2 linked regions of the Drosophila melanogaster genome follow. The protein of the gene in region 2 interacts with the protein of the main gene of each other region in a pairwise test. Each region holds a gene or a part of one and is shown on either strand. Other genes may lie near its edges.

Region 1 (4,901 bases), 240 kb from region 2:
CGATGCCTTTAATTTGGTTAAATGTACGATCGAATGGCTTTCTGAATATCTGCCAGTTCGGTCTTTAATTAATTCATTTTCCGTTGAATCGGAATATTTTCTTTCGTGGCATATGTTTGTTGACGTTCCAATATATTTTTATAGCAACTCTCTGTCGCACTACGCATGCAGTTGCTATAAACCGCCGCATGGTCACACTAATCATTCGAAATTCAAACTGAGTGGCGGGAGACTTACGAAATGGAAATCCATAATTTTAGGAGTATGAGTTGGTTTGGCTATTTATGGCTCTACTTGATAAATTTAGCGGGCGGAAATCTTTAGGTATCTATTGTGGCAAAAAGGTTGGTTTTTTTTTATTGAATATGTTACGGTTTCGATTTTCTGCAGAACGCAGGAAATATATTTTCAATAGTGAGCCAAAAATTCATGTATGCTTTGGGCTGCAAAAAGTATCTGCTTTCACTGCAGATAAGATACACCACTAAATTAAATACAAGTTACAGCTGCGGCTAAAACAATATTTTGCCATGTTATGAATATCGTGATATTACAATCAGACATTAGCTAATATCTAAAATGAACATTTAGATGCCGTAATAAAAACGTAAGATTAATAATTTTGCATAAAATTTTATTAGAACACATACAAGCAAGCGGCTATTATGCTGACCGCAATTGTGCGTACAATACACACTCCATGCTGATAACTCCCACGCCACTCCAGAAAAATCACCGATGGAATTGTTTTGCAGCTGTTTTAATAATAAAGTGAATTACTGAGAGCATTTTGCTTGTTTGCTTCGCGAACACATTCAGATGTTTTGTTATAATTAAAAGTAATTACTGATACAGGGCACCACAGCATCGCAGGCGCTGTGCTAGTGGCTTCTCGAATAACAATTTCAATTTCCAAATACATACGCGCTTTTAATAATATACTCGAAACTGGTTGCGGTTGCTCTCCCCTCTTCCAGAGGGAAAGGCAATATTTGTGACTGCGTTTTGTTTGACTTCCATAGCTTAGCTTAAATTCTAATTAAGTGTTCAATTGAAACTCTTGTGATGCTGCTCGCTGGCTGGCTGGATGGCAGGCCTGTTGTTCCATTCTATTACGTTCTGGTCTGGTTTCGGCTTTTTCCTGGCTGCTTCGATTGCTGTGCTTTCGTTTACTTTCATGGTTATTGTTCTGTTCCGGTTTTCCGTTTCGTTCATCTCGGGTGGCGTGCTCTAGCTCAATTAAATTTCTTGGAAGGCCGTTCAGCTTTTAACAACACACTTTTCCGCTTCCGAGCTTCGAAATCTCCCAGGGCCACAAGCTTCAGCTTTACTTAGCGGGCGAGGAGCCACCATAGAATGGCTCCTCCCACTTGTGGTGCACCTCCGGCGTCAGGTGGCTAATCTGCACGTGCACGGCCTGGTGCTTCTCATACTTGGGCGGAATGGCGCACAGACGGTATTTGACCTCGTCCCCGGGCATGGGCACATATTCACCTTCGATGCTGTGGGAAGATTACATTTTTGTAGGTCTTACAGAGCCAGCGCAAAGGTCGCCGCGCATGCAATATTCATTCACTTACTCGGAAACGTGGCAAAAAACGTCCTCTCCGCCGGCGTTGGGTGTAATGAAGCCGTGTCCTTTGGTGCGGCTGAAGGATTTCACCATACCGGTCACAACCGGATTTTCCAAGGCCCGAGCGGAGCTATGTTTTTTCAGCGTTATTTTGAGTTTGCGCGTGTTTGCGTTTTGGCAGCGTTTGGGAAAAGAATTAAGCAGGAAGAGACAAGTTAATCAATGGAGGATGCGCATGGGGATATGAGGGGGAAGAATTTAAGTACGTGGATTATGTTCGAAAGGGTTCCGAGAGCTTATAAATTCGGCAGCGACTGATTTCTGAATGTATGTATGTATGTACAATGAAATAATTGAAAAAGTATGGGGTTTACAAATTTAAACTTTCAAAAAAAATGGTCCTTACGGTTATAAAAATATTTATAAGTATATACACATAAAAATAAATATATTAAATGTAAATGTGGAACCAATAAAGTGTTCCATGTTCGATTACTAATTACTGTTTGTTTCATTATGTTTGCTCATCTAATTCAACAAATGCAGTTTAAAACATTATAGAAAGCTTTTGCTTTAGAAATTACAAGCTTCCATGCTATTCTTTTACTATTTCAAAAGGTTGTATTTGGTTTTCATACAAAAGAGCGAACCTTGTGAAATAATGTGAACTTTCGGCGCCTATTTGGCCCCATAAAGGCTCTGCATAGGGGCCAAGTTCCCCTTGGGGTCAAGTGTGTGTGGGGCCAGTAGTGGGTGGGTGGTTTTGCTGGTTGGGTGGGCAGGGCAGTGCAGGAGGACTTACGTCGAGGCCGTGCGAGTGCGCCTCGTGATGATGGGACTGGGCAGCTGCAGCGAGGCATTGGGACTATGGCTGTTGTGGTGTAAAACCGGCGGCTTGGCGGCCAGCAGCTTCTCGGGCGTCCTTGGTTCGGTCATGGCTTTCTTACACTGCTCGTTTACTTGCCGATTTATGCGTTCTTCCCCTTTCTTCGCTCTTTTCCTCTCCTCTCTTCAGACAGTAGAAGCGGCTTGCGCGTGTGTATATATGTGCGTATGTGTGTTTGTGGGTGAGTGGACGGCAGCCAAGTCTGTCGAGTTCAAGGCCACGGGGGGCGGGTTAGTCAGTCAGCAAATTGCGTTGCACTTAATTCACGTGTACTCGGTCAGCTTACCGACAACTTCACGCCCTCTTTCCTAGCACCTTGATAATTGGCAATCCAAAAATCCTGGCTTAGCTTCTTTTTTTTTTGCGAAACACCCACACACTGATGCAAATTTTACCGCTGTGCGAAACGCCGGTTGCCAATGTTATTTGTACCCCCTAAATCAGTCCTGCGCGGTATGACTTTTATCAACTTTGGAATCTGGGATTTTTTTAAACTTTTTTATCAATTATTACACCGGCTTGATGCGCGCTTTTTAAGAATTTCAGTTTTTTAACGAATGGCGGCGGAGGCGTCAAAGTCAGACCTCAGAGTGAACGTTTTGGAATGTTCCAGAAATCCCAAAACCTATCGCTTAGCCTAATTGGCAATCGATGTTTATAGCAACATGAATAAAATTTGAAAATCAAATTTAACGAACAAACAGGATTAATTACAAGTTACTCCAACTTGTTGGTAGAATAAATAGATGTGAAAATTTAATTGAAAGCATTTATAATTATTTTAAACAATTAAAAAATTGCATTTTCCGCACAAACACTCAACTCTTATATAGATTCTTTTTTTATATGCTTGATATACGAAAAAAATGTGTTCAGACTAATATGTTGTCCACACTAACAATGAATATTTAAATATATTTATTTACATGTAGTACTCGATAGTTTCACCCCGTTGTTCCATCACTAAAGCATCTCGATCTTGACCATCCCTAGCTTGAAATTTAGCGTCCTATTGCAGGAAAGTCGCGAAATAGATAAAATAATAACAAGAACTTTCATGTTTTCCAAGAGGAAAACTTGATTGAGACCATATATAGGTGAAACGGACAGCGAAGGTTTCGCAAAAGGCGACAGCGCCGTGGATCCGGAAATATACTCATCGGGCAGCAGGGAATGCGATCAGTCTGAAGCGAGAAAGCGGAATTCAGACATCCTGCTGCAAGGAATGGAGAATGAAACCGAAGCTCTTGATCCGGAAGTTTATGCCGATGAGACCTCTACAGATGATAGCTCTGGTGATGATGAGGTAATCCTCAATCCAGTTGAAGGTCTGCAGCCGGCGGTTGAGATTGATGAACAACGTGACCAGCCTGGTGAGAACGCGGAACCCGAGCAACCGAGAGTTCCGCCTTTAATTCTGGTAGATCCTCCGCATTTGCCCAGTCCCCCGAGAAATTCCCGCCGCAATCAAGGCGAAGAGCAGGAGGTGATCTCATTAGAAACGCCATCACCGCCCAAGAAACGTAAACGTCTCTCCGCTGCTGCCGATAAAAGCCTTAAAAAGTCGCCCGAGGGCAAACCAATAGTTGTAGATGACGAGGACGATGGCATGACCTGTCCCATTTGTCTGGATTCCTGGGAGATGAGTGGCGAGCATCGACTGGTCTCGCTGCGATGTGGTCACCTCTTTGGGGAAAGCTGCATTCGGCGGTGGTTAAACGAAAGCCATCGCCAATCTTCTGTGAAGGTGTGCCCGCAGTGCAAGACGAAGGCCACATTTAGAGATATCCGTCATCTGTATGCGAAGCGCATTCAGATGCTGGACACGGATATTAGGGAGCAGCTGGAGGCGGAGCGGCGGCGTACACATACTCTAACAACAGAGCTGGCTACCGCGAAGCTGGCTAACACACTCACCACTGAGAAGCTGATTCTCCTGCAGAAGGACTACGAACGGCTTAAGGAGCTGGTGAGGGCAGGTGGTGGTCGGGGAGCCTTCGGAGGCGATGCATCCGGCCAGAAGAGCATTCAACAACTAGCCACCTACCGATTGTACATGGAGAAGAACTTCGAGATAACTCGAGATCCCGGCTGCCGTGTATTGCTCTATTCCGCCAAGCACTCCATGCTGGTGGCCTCGCAAAAGAGTGCCCAAAACCTGTTCCCCGGCTACGGCGTACGCTTTATTGATCCACCTACCTTCAAGCCCCTGCAATTCCTGCACACCTCGGCACTCCTAATCCGGGACATTGCTTTTAGTGACTCACAGCACTTGCTCACTGTGGCCAGTCGGGAACTAAAGATCAAGATATTCGACATAAGAACACGGCTTTGCTCGTCTATGTTCACCGCTCATGACAAGATGCTGTGGTCTTGCGCCCTGGATCGCAACGAGCGCGAACACTTTCTATACGGCGGAGATCTGCGAGGTGGAGTTTATAT
Region 2 (5,523 bases):
TAAATATAGTTTAGCCAGGTACGATGATTTAAGTAATTGCATAACATACGAATCCCAAATAATTTCCGAACGCAGCCCACTGCTGAAGCCAAAATCCCTTTGCACTTCGTAGGTGGTGCGAGAATTTTTAGTATTTTCCGTTTTCTCCATATCCTAATTACTGCAGAATCTGGCACTTTTGATCTGCAGCCCAAGTTAAATATACTTACTTTAATTTAGAGACTGTATTTTAATGGGAAATCAATGTCGAAATGCTAATTTCGTTTCCATGACAATTCAACAAAGCTGGCGCCAAATTATCGAGAGCTAATCGATTAAGCTTCACGATATAAGTTTATCAATCGATACCGCGTAATTTTAAATGATACATTTTGACAATATTATTTTAAATCTCAAATCTATTAATGCCATAGAAATTCGGTTCAAAACTTTTTCAATCAATAGTAATTCTTTCAAGTAGTAATAGTTCTAAATTAAAACTTATTTCGCGATCCACAGTTTTCCTTGGTCTTTGATCCACTTGGTACCTAATAATTATTTTACTTAACTTTTAATTGCCATGTTTTACTGAACAAGTTTAATATTTTTGGACTATCAGTAAATTACTCTTTTAATGACCTTTACTGACCTCAGTAATTTAATATTTTAACCTCAAAAAATCTACTAGTGTCCCCGAAAAGTCCAATACCCAAGCAATAGTTGAATTTTAATATGGGATTTTTATTTAAATATACACTTAAGAGTTAGTTATACAAAAACATTGCTAAGGCCACGGTTAAGTCTAATTAGGTGTTGGGCAGGCAAAAAGGCCATTGGCAAGCGATTTTCGTGGTGAAAAATCATCAACAAGATTAGTTAACAACGAGTTAAAAGGTAAATAAAGTGAAATTAAATACATGTATTGCATTGAAGTTGTGAGTCTATCAGTTGGTTATCAGTTAAAACAGTGGTTTATCTTAACAAAATTCGAACAATTGAAACTGCCTGCCATTAAAATCGAGCAATAAATGGTACTAGGACCAGCCGCCGGTAAGTTTGTGGAAAAGCTCCTCGTTCAGGGTCTGGTTGGTGTCCTTGGATCGCATGGACATGAAAATGTAACCACCGATGAACTCGTGCACCACTTTACAGTCGGCTGAGTGGCAGGAGAAGACCACATTCTCGTCTTCAAACTGAATCATCATGCACTTTATGTTCCAGTTGACGTTCCACGCCTTCATGGTGTTATATCGCCAGGTCTTGATGTGATCTCCCGAACTCAGATCCATGCGCATAATGCGGTTGTGGGCCACGCCGAGCAGCTCCTCCTTCCGATGCCCGTCGAACTTAATGATGAACAGGCTTACTCCAAAGTCAGGTAACGAACGCCATGCCTGGATGTACTTCAGTTTTGAATCTAAAGCATTCAGCTCCCGAACGTTGGCATGTGCTTCGAGGATCCGCTGGACTGCCTTGTTCGACAACTTGCGGATGATCTTGGGCGACAGATAATCAACTGCTTCCACAGAGCGAGGATCGATGTTTACATGAACTCCGTGTGCGGGTCGCTGCATCTGCAGTAGCGAGAGTATGCTGTCCACTTCACTCTCGTACGAGCTATCCGCCAGGGATCTTCCCTTGGCCGCCAAACGACAAGCAGCCATCCACTTGGCGTACTGCTGCTCGTTCTCGCAGCGCACCCACACCTCACTGTTGATACCGTGGCCACCATCAGGAGAGACCTCCAGCCGGATAGCATACTTTCCCTGGGACAGGTTTACATCCGGAGTTACTTCGCAGCCCTTCAGGTTAATGCTTATGGCAGGCGCAACACGTCGCGAATCTTCGGCGTTCTTGAACAGATGCAAATGCAGATCCCGATAGGTGAAGTAGTAGCGCTTATAGCCGCGCAGCGTGAATCTTTGCGGCTTCAAGTAACGCAAATAGTCAGAGAGCTCTGGTATGCGTGTAATATTCCGCGAGTCTCCGCCGTAGTCCGGTCCCTCCAGCGTAATCTGTAGCTCTTTCAGTGCCGAATCAATCTCGTCTTCGTTGTCATTCTCCTGACTGGAAGTTTCAATGCCCGAGTCCACTGCTGCACCCTGGGGTGTATGATCTACGTGATGGTTCACCTGGAACTGGAGGGCGGCAAACATAAGGCTCTCCTCCTCTGTGCAATCCAACTCCTCGTTCAGAACACTCCACTTGGCCTGCTCGTACAGCTGATTGATGCGCACCTGGTCGCACTTGGGATTTAGATCGAAAAAAGTGAAATACTTGAAGCGCAGGCACAGCGTGTCGTACTCGCGTATGCCCTGTTCCATGATGGACAGCGAGGAATCTAGCCAGCCCACATTCAGACGAGCCTTCTCCACCAGCGACTTGGGGCGCAGCTGAAGAGCTCGCACATCCGCGCATGGGGTGGGCGGAGAGCTGGCCAAATTCTCCTGGAAATCGCCAAGACTTGAGGAGCTCGAATCGTACGTGGCATAGCCAAGCTGGCTCTGTTTCCAGGTGCCTGGAAAAGGTGATACGGTGCGCACTGGCGAGCGCGCTCGGTGATTGTGCGGCGACAGAGGAGCACAGAAGAAGGATCCCGGTGCAGAGGGCTTGTCCAGACTGCCCGTGCTTCCGCCTTCTCCATGAAACGACGTGCTGATGGGCACAAATGAGTTGGTGTCCGCAGCAGGCTGCAGGTAAGTGGTGCCATCTGGTTCAGCGATTGGCACTCGCTTCTGATGCGGCACCTGGGCGAAGTTACGCTTCAGGTGCTCCGCTTCCAGTGGTTTGCACAGGGACAACTCCTCCGGATAGCGGATATCCAACTGCTTGCATAGATTAACCACCGCCGAGAACGTCTTTACGGAGTAATCCACCCGGGAGTCCAGGTACCTCAAATCCGGCAGCTGCACCCGCAGTATCTTGTGCATGGGCGTGAAGTGCAGAAGGCTATCCGCCTGGACACCGCACTGATCCAGGGTAAGTTTGGTTCGGCTGAGCCAAACATTCCGCGCTGGCCACCACAGAGCATGATCCGACCAGTCCTTGGGATTCTCCGGATCCACCAGTTGCAGCATAATGCCCCCAATGTGCTGGTCACCGCGCACGCGCATCGTCTTCTCCAGCGCCAGATCCGTGATGAAGATCCGCAGATTCCACGAGTTCTCGCCGACGTGGATCATGGTGCTGCTGTGATGTCACCTGTCCTACTTTCTGCTGCCCGTCTGGGGCGTTTCTAGGTCGTCCTTGGTGGGGCGCCCACAGCAAAGTCGAGAGTTTTCCACCGATCGGCGCACAGATGGTCGTCAAATTCGCATTTTCCGCACTGTGACGCAATCCACGGGTTGAAAATTCACTGCAATTGCGTTGACTATGCCGCAATATTTCCGGATCCGGACAATTGCATCGATTCGTTTTGCTTGCGTAAATAGAGCAATTAAAGAAAATTCAGTCCATTGAAAAAGAAAGCGCCGAACCGACTGGTTTACCCACTCGCTCTGGTATCGATATATCTCTGACTTGGTTTTCCAAATCGCTATCGATTATTTCGTTGATCGGTGTACCAGATGGAAAAAGATATATTTTCGATTACTGTTTTAGATTACACCTATTAGAATTTAACTTATGGGCGCGAAGAAGTTTTGAAATTCAATTTAATGGGATGCCTTTTAAGTTTGAACTATAATTTTAAATTCTTAACCGAAGGACCTTTAATAATTTTGCATTTTTGTAGGTCCCAAAAAAATTCAAAAGCTTAGAATTTTAGATTAAGCATGCAGATTTTAGTAAGCAAAATTGTTTCAGAACGCTGACATTCATAGTATCACACAAAGCCCTATAATTATTGATTGCTAACTTATTAGATATTTTATTTTTATATCACAAAAAACAAACTGCTTAGCCCAGAATGATTTTTTTTTTAATTTCTTTAGAAAATAAGCCACTACCGCATTTGCCTGTTGATGGGCTCAAGGTAATCAAATTAAATTGACTTAATTTGAGCCCGATTGGTAAGTGGTCAAATTGGACGGAGACACGCAGTGTATTTCCAAACGGAGGCCTGTACATATAAAAGCCCGGATTGCTAATACGGTTAGCAGCATACGATCGATTCGAAAATGGGACAGCCCGGTTTCCGTCGTGCCATTGGGCACGTTTCGTTGGTGGTGGCACTGATGTGCACCACCTGTTTCCAAGTGGAAGGACTACCCCATCCGCCGGCCACGTCGCCGTCACCAATGATGGAAAGAATGGTGGAGCAGGCCTACGACGATAAGTTCGACAACGTCGATCTGGACGAGATCCTTAACCAAGAGCGACTGTTGATCAACTACATAAAGTGCCTGGAGGGCACAGGTCCTTGCACTCCCGATGCCAAGATGTTGAAGGGTAAGCTTGAAGCCCAATTCAATAATTCTCGGTAATACCCAATCTCTTGTAGAGATCCTGCCCGACGCCATCCAAACCGATTGCACCAAGTGCACGGAGAAGCAGCGGTATGGTGCTGAAAAGGTGACCCGTCATCTCATCGACAACCGACCCACCGACTGGGAGCGTCTGGAAAAGATCTACGATCCCGAGGGAACCTACCGCATCAAATACCAGGAGATGAAGTCCAAGGCCAATGAGGAGCCATAATCAATCTCTATTTTACGTCGTTTTTAACTTAAGTGATTTTATGTTGCTTTAATTAACGAATAAACTGCAGAGAAGCTTCAACCTTTGGTCTTTTTGAAAGTATCCAAGCCGTAAGAATCTATTAAATTTTAATTACCCGAAATGCGAATTATTTTACTAGTTAAACAACTTAAATACATAGTTACAGATATATTTTGCTTCAAAAGAAGAAATTGTAAATTTTGCGGAAGCGGAAGCGTTTGAAAACGAATACAAGTCGTCTCGATTCCCCAATTCGATAGACGAGCAATCGGAGGCGTCATGGCAACCAGTTCCTAGGAGCCCCGATTCCGGATTCAGCCCCAACAACGCAGCAGTCGGCGGAGCAAACAATAAACAATAATCAGACATCAAACATCAAGGCGTAACCACAGTAGCAGGCACTTGGTTTTCAGTTACATTTTGACTTCACCTCGCACCGACTCTCTATCTATTTCTATACACTAGACATCCGAATTGGCCTCCGAAAATTATTAGCTTTCTCGAGCTAACCCAGTGACAATCCTCCGGAGCAGCGGCAGGACCTTAGATGGTATCGCCGCGCAAGCTGGCATCGTCCTACGGCCCAAGAGTATCCCAATCGGAACCGAACAATCTGATGGCGTGGGTAGAGTACACATCTTCGGCAGTAGCCACCATCTAAAGTCTTCCCCTCCCCCCAAATCCCCTTTTCTAGAGCGTCGGCAAAGAGCTGTGAGAGCCTATTCTCGGCCAGCTCCCGGGAGTCGGCCAGCCTGATCTACCAGCGCAGCAAGCCGCCACCGCCCCAACAACGTGGCGGCGTGAAGGGTTCCGGCAGTATGAGCTCCCAGAACCACAGCGAGATCCATCAGCGCGTCATGTCCGCGAGGAATCTGCGCGCCAAGA

What was found.
Region 1: the proteins of Fit2 (region 2) and CG9705 interact in a two-hybrid assay, tested with the Drosophila melanogaster proteins (one large-scale study listed by BioGRID).

What each region holds. Positions count from the first base shown.
Region 1 is NT_037436.4:16,778,265-16,783,165, reverse strand, and holds CG9705 (uncharacterized protein), read right to left. Parts: upstream 3,067-4,901; 5' UTR 2,746-3,066; exon of another isoform or gene 2,662-2,745; 5' UTR 2,510-2,661; coding exon 2,376-2,509; intron 1,704-2,375; coding exon 1,581-1,703; intron 1,503-1,580; coding exon 1,328-1,502; 3' UTR 747-1,327; downstream 1-746. Other genes in the region: mus302 (mutagen-sensitive 302), read left to right, coding at 3,685-4,901.
Region 2 is NT_037436.4:17,022,296-17,027,818, reverse strand, and holds Fit2 (fermitin 2), read right to left. Parts: upstream 3,492-5,523; 5' UTR 3,162-3,491; coding exon 1,014-3,161; 3' UTR 702-1,013; downstream 1-701. Other genes in the region: CG7730 (uncharacterized protein), read right to left, coding at 50-150; a10 (antennal protein 10), read left to right, coding at 4,098-4,368, 4,421-4,617; CG6652 (uncharacterized protein), read left to right, coding at 5,186-5,259, 5,333-5,523.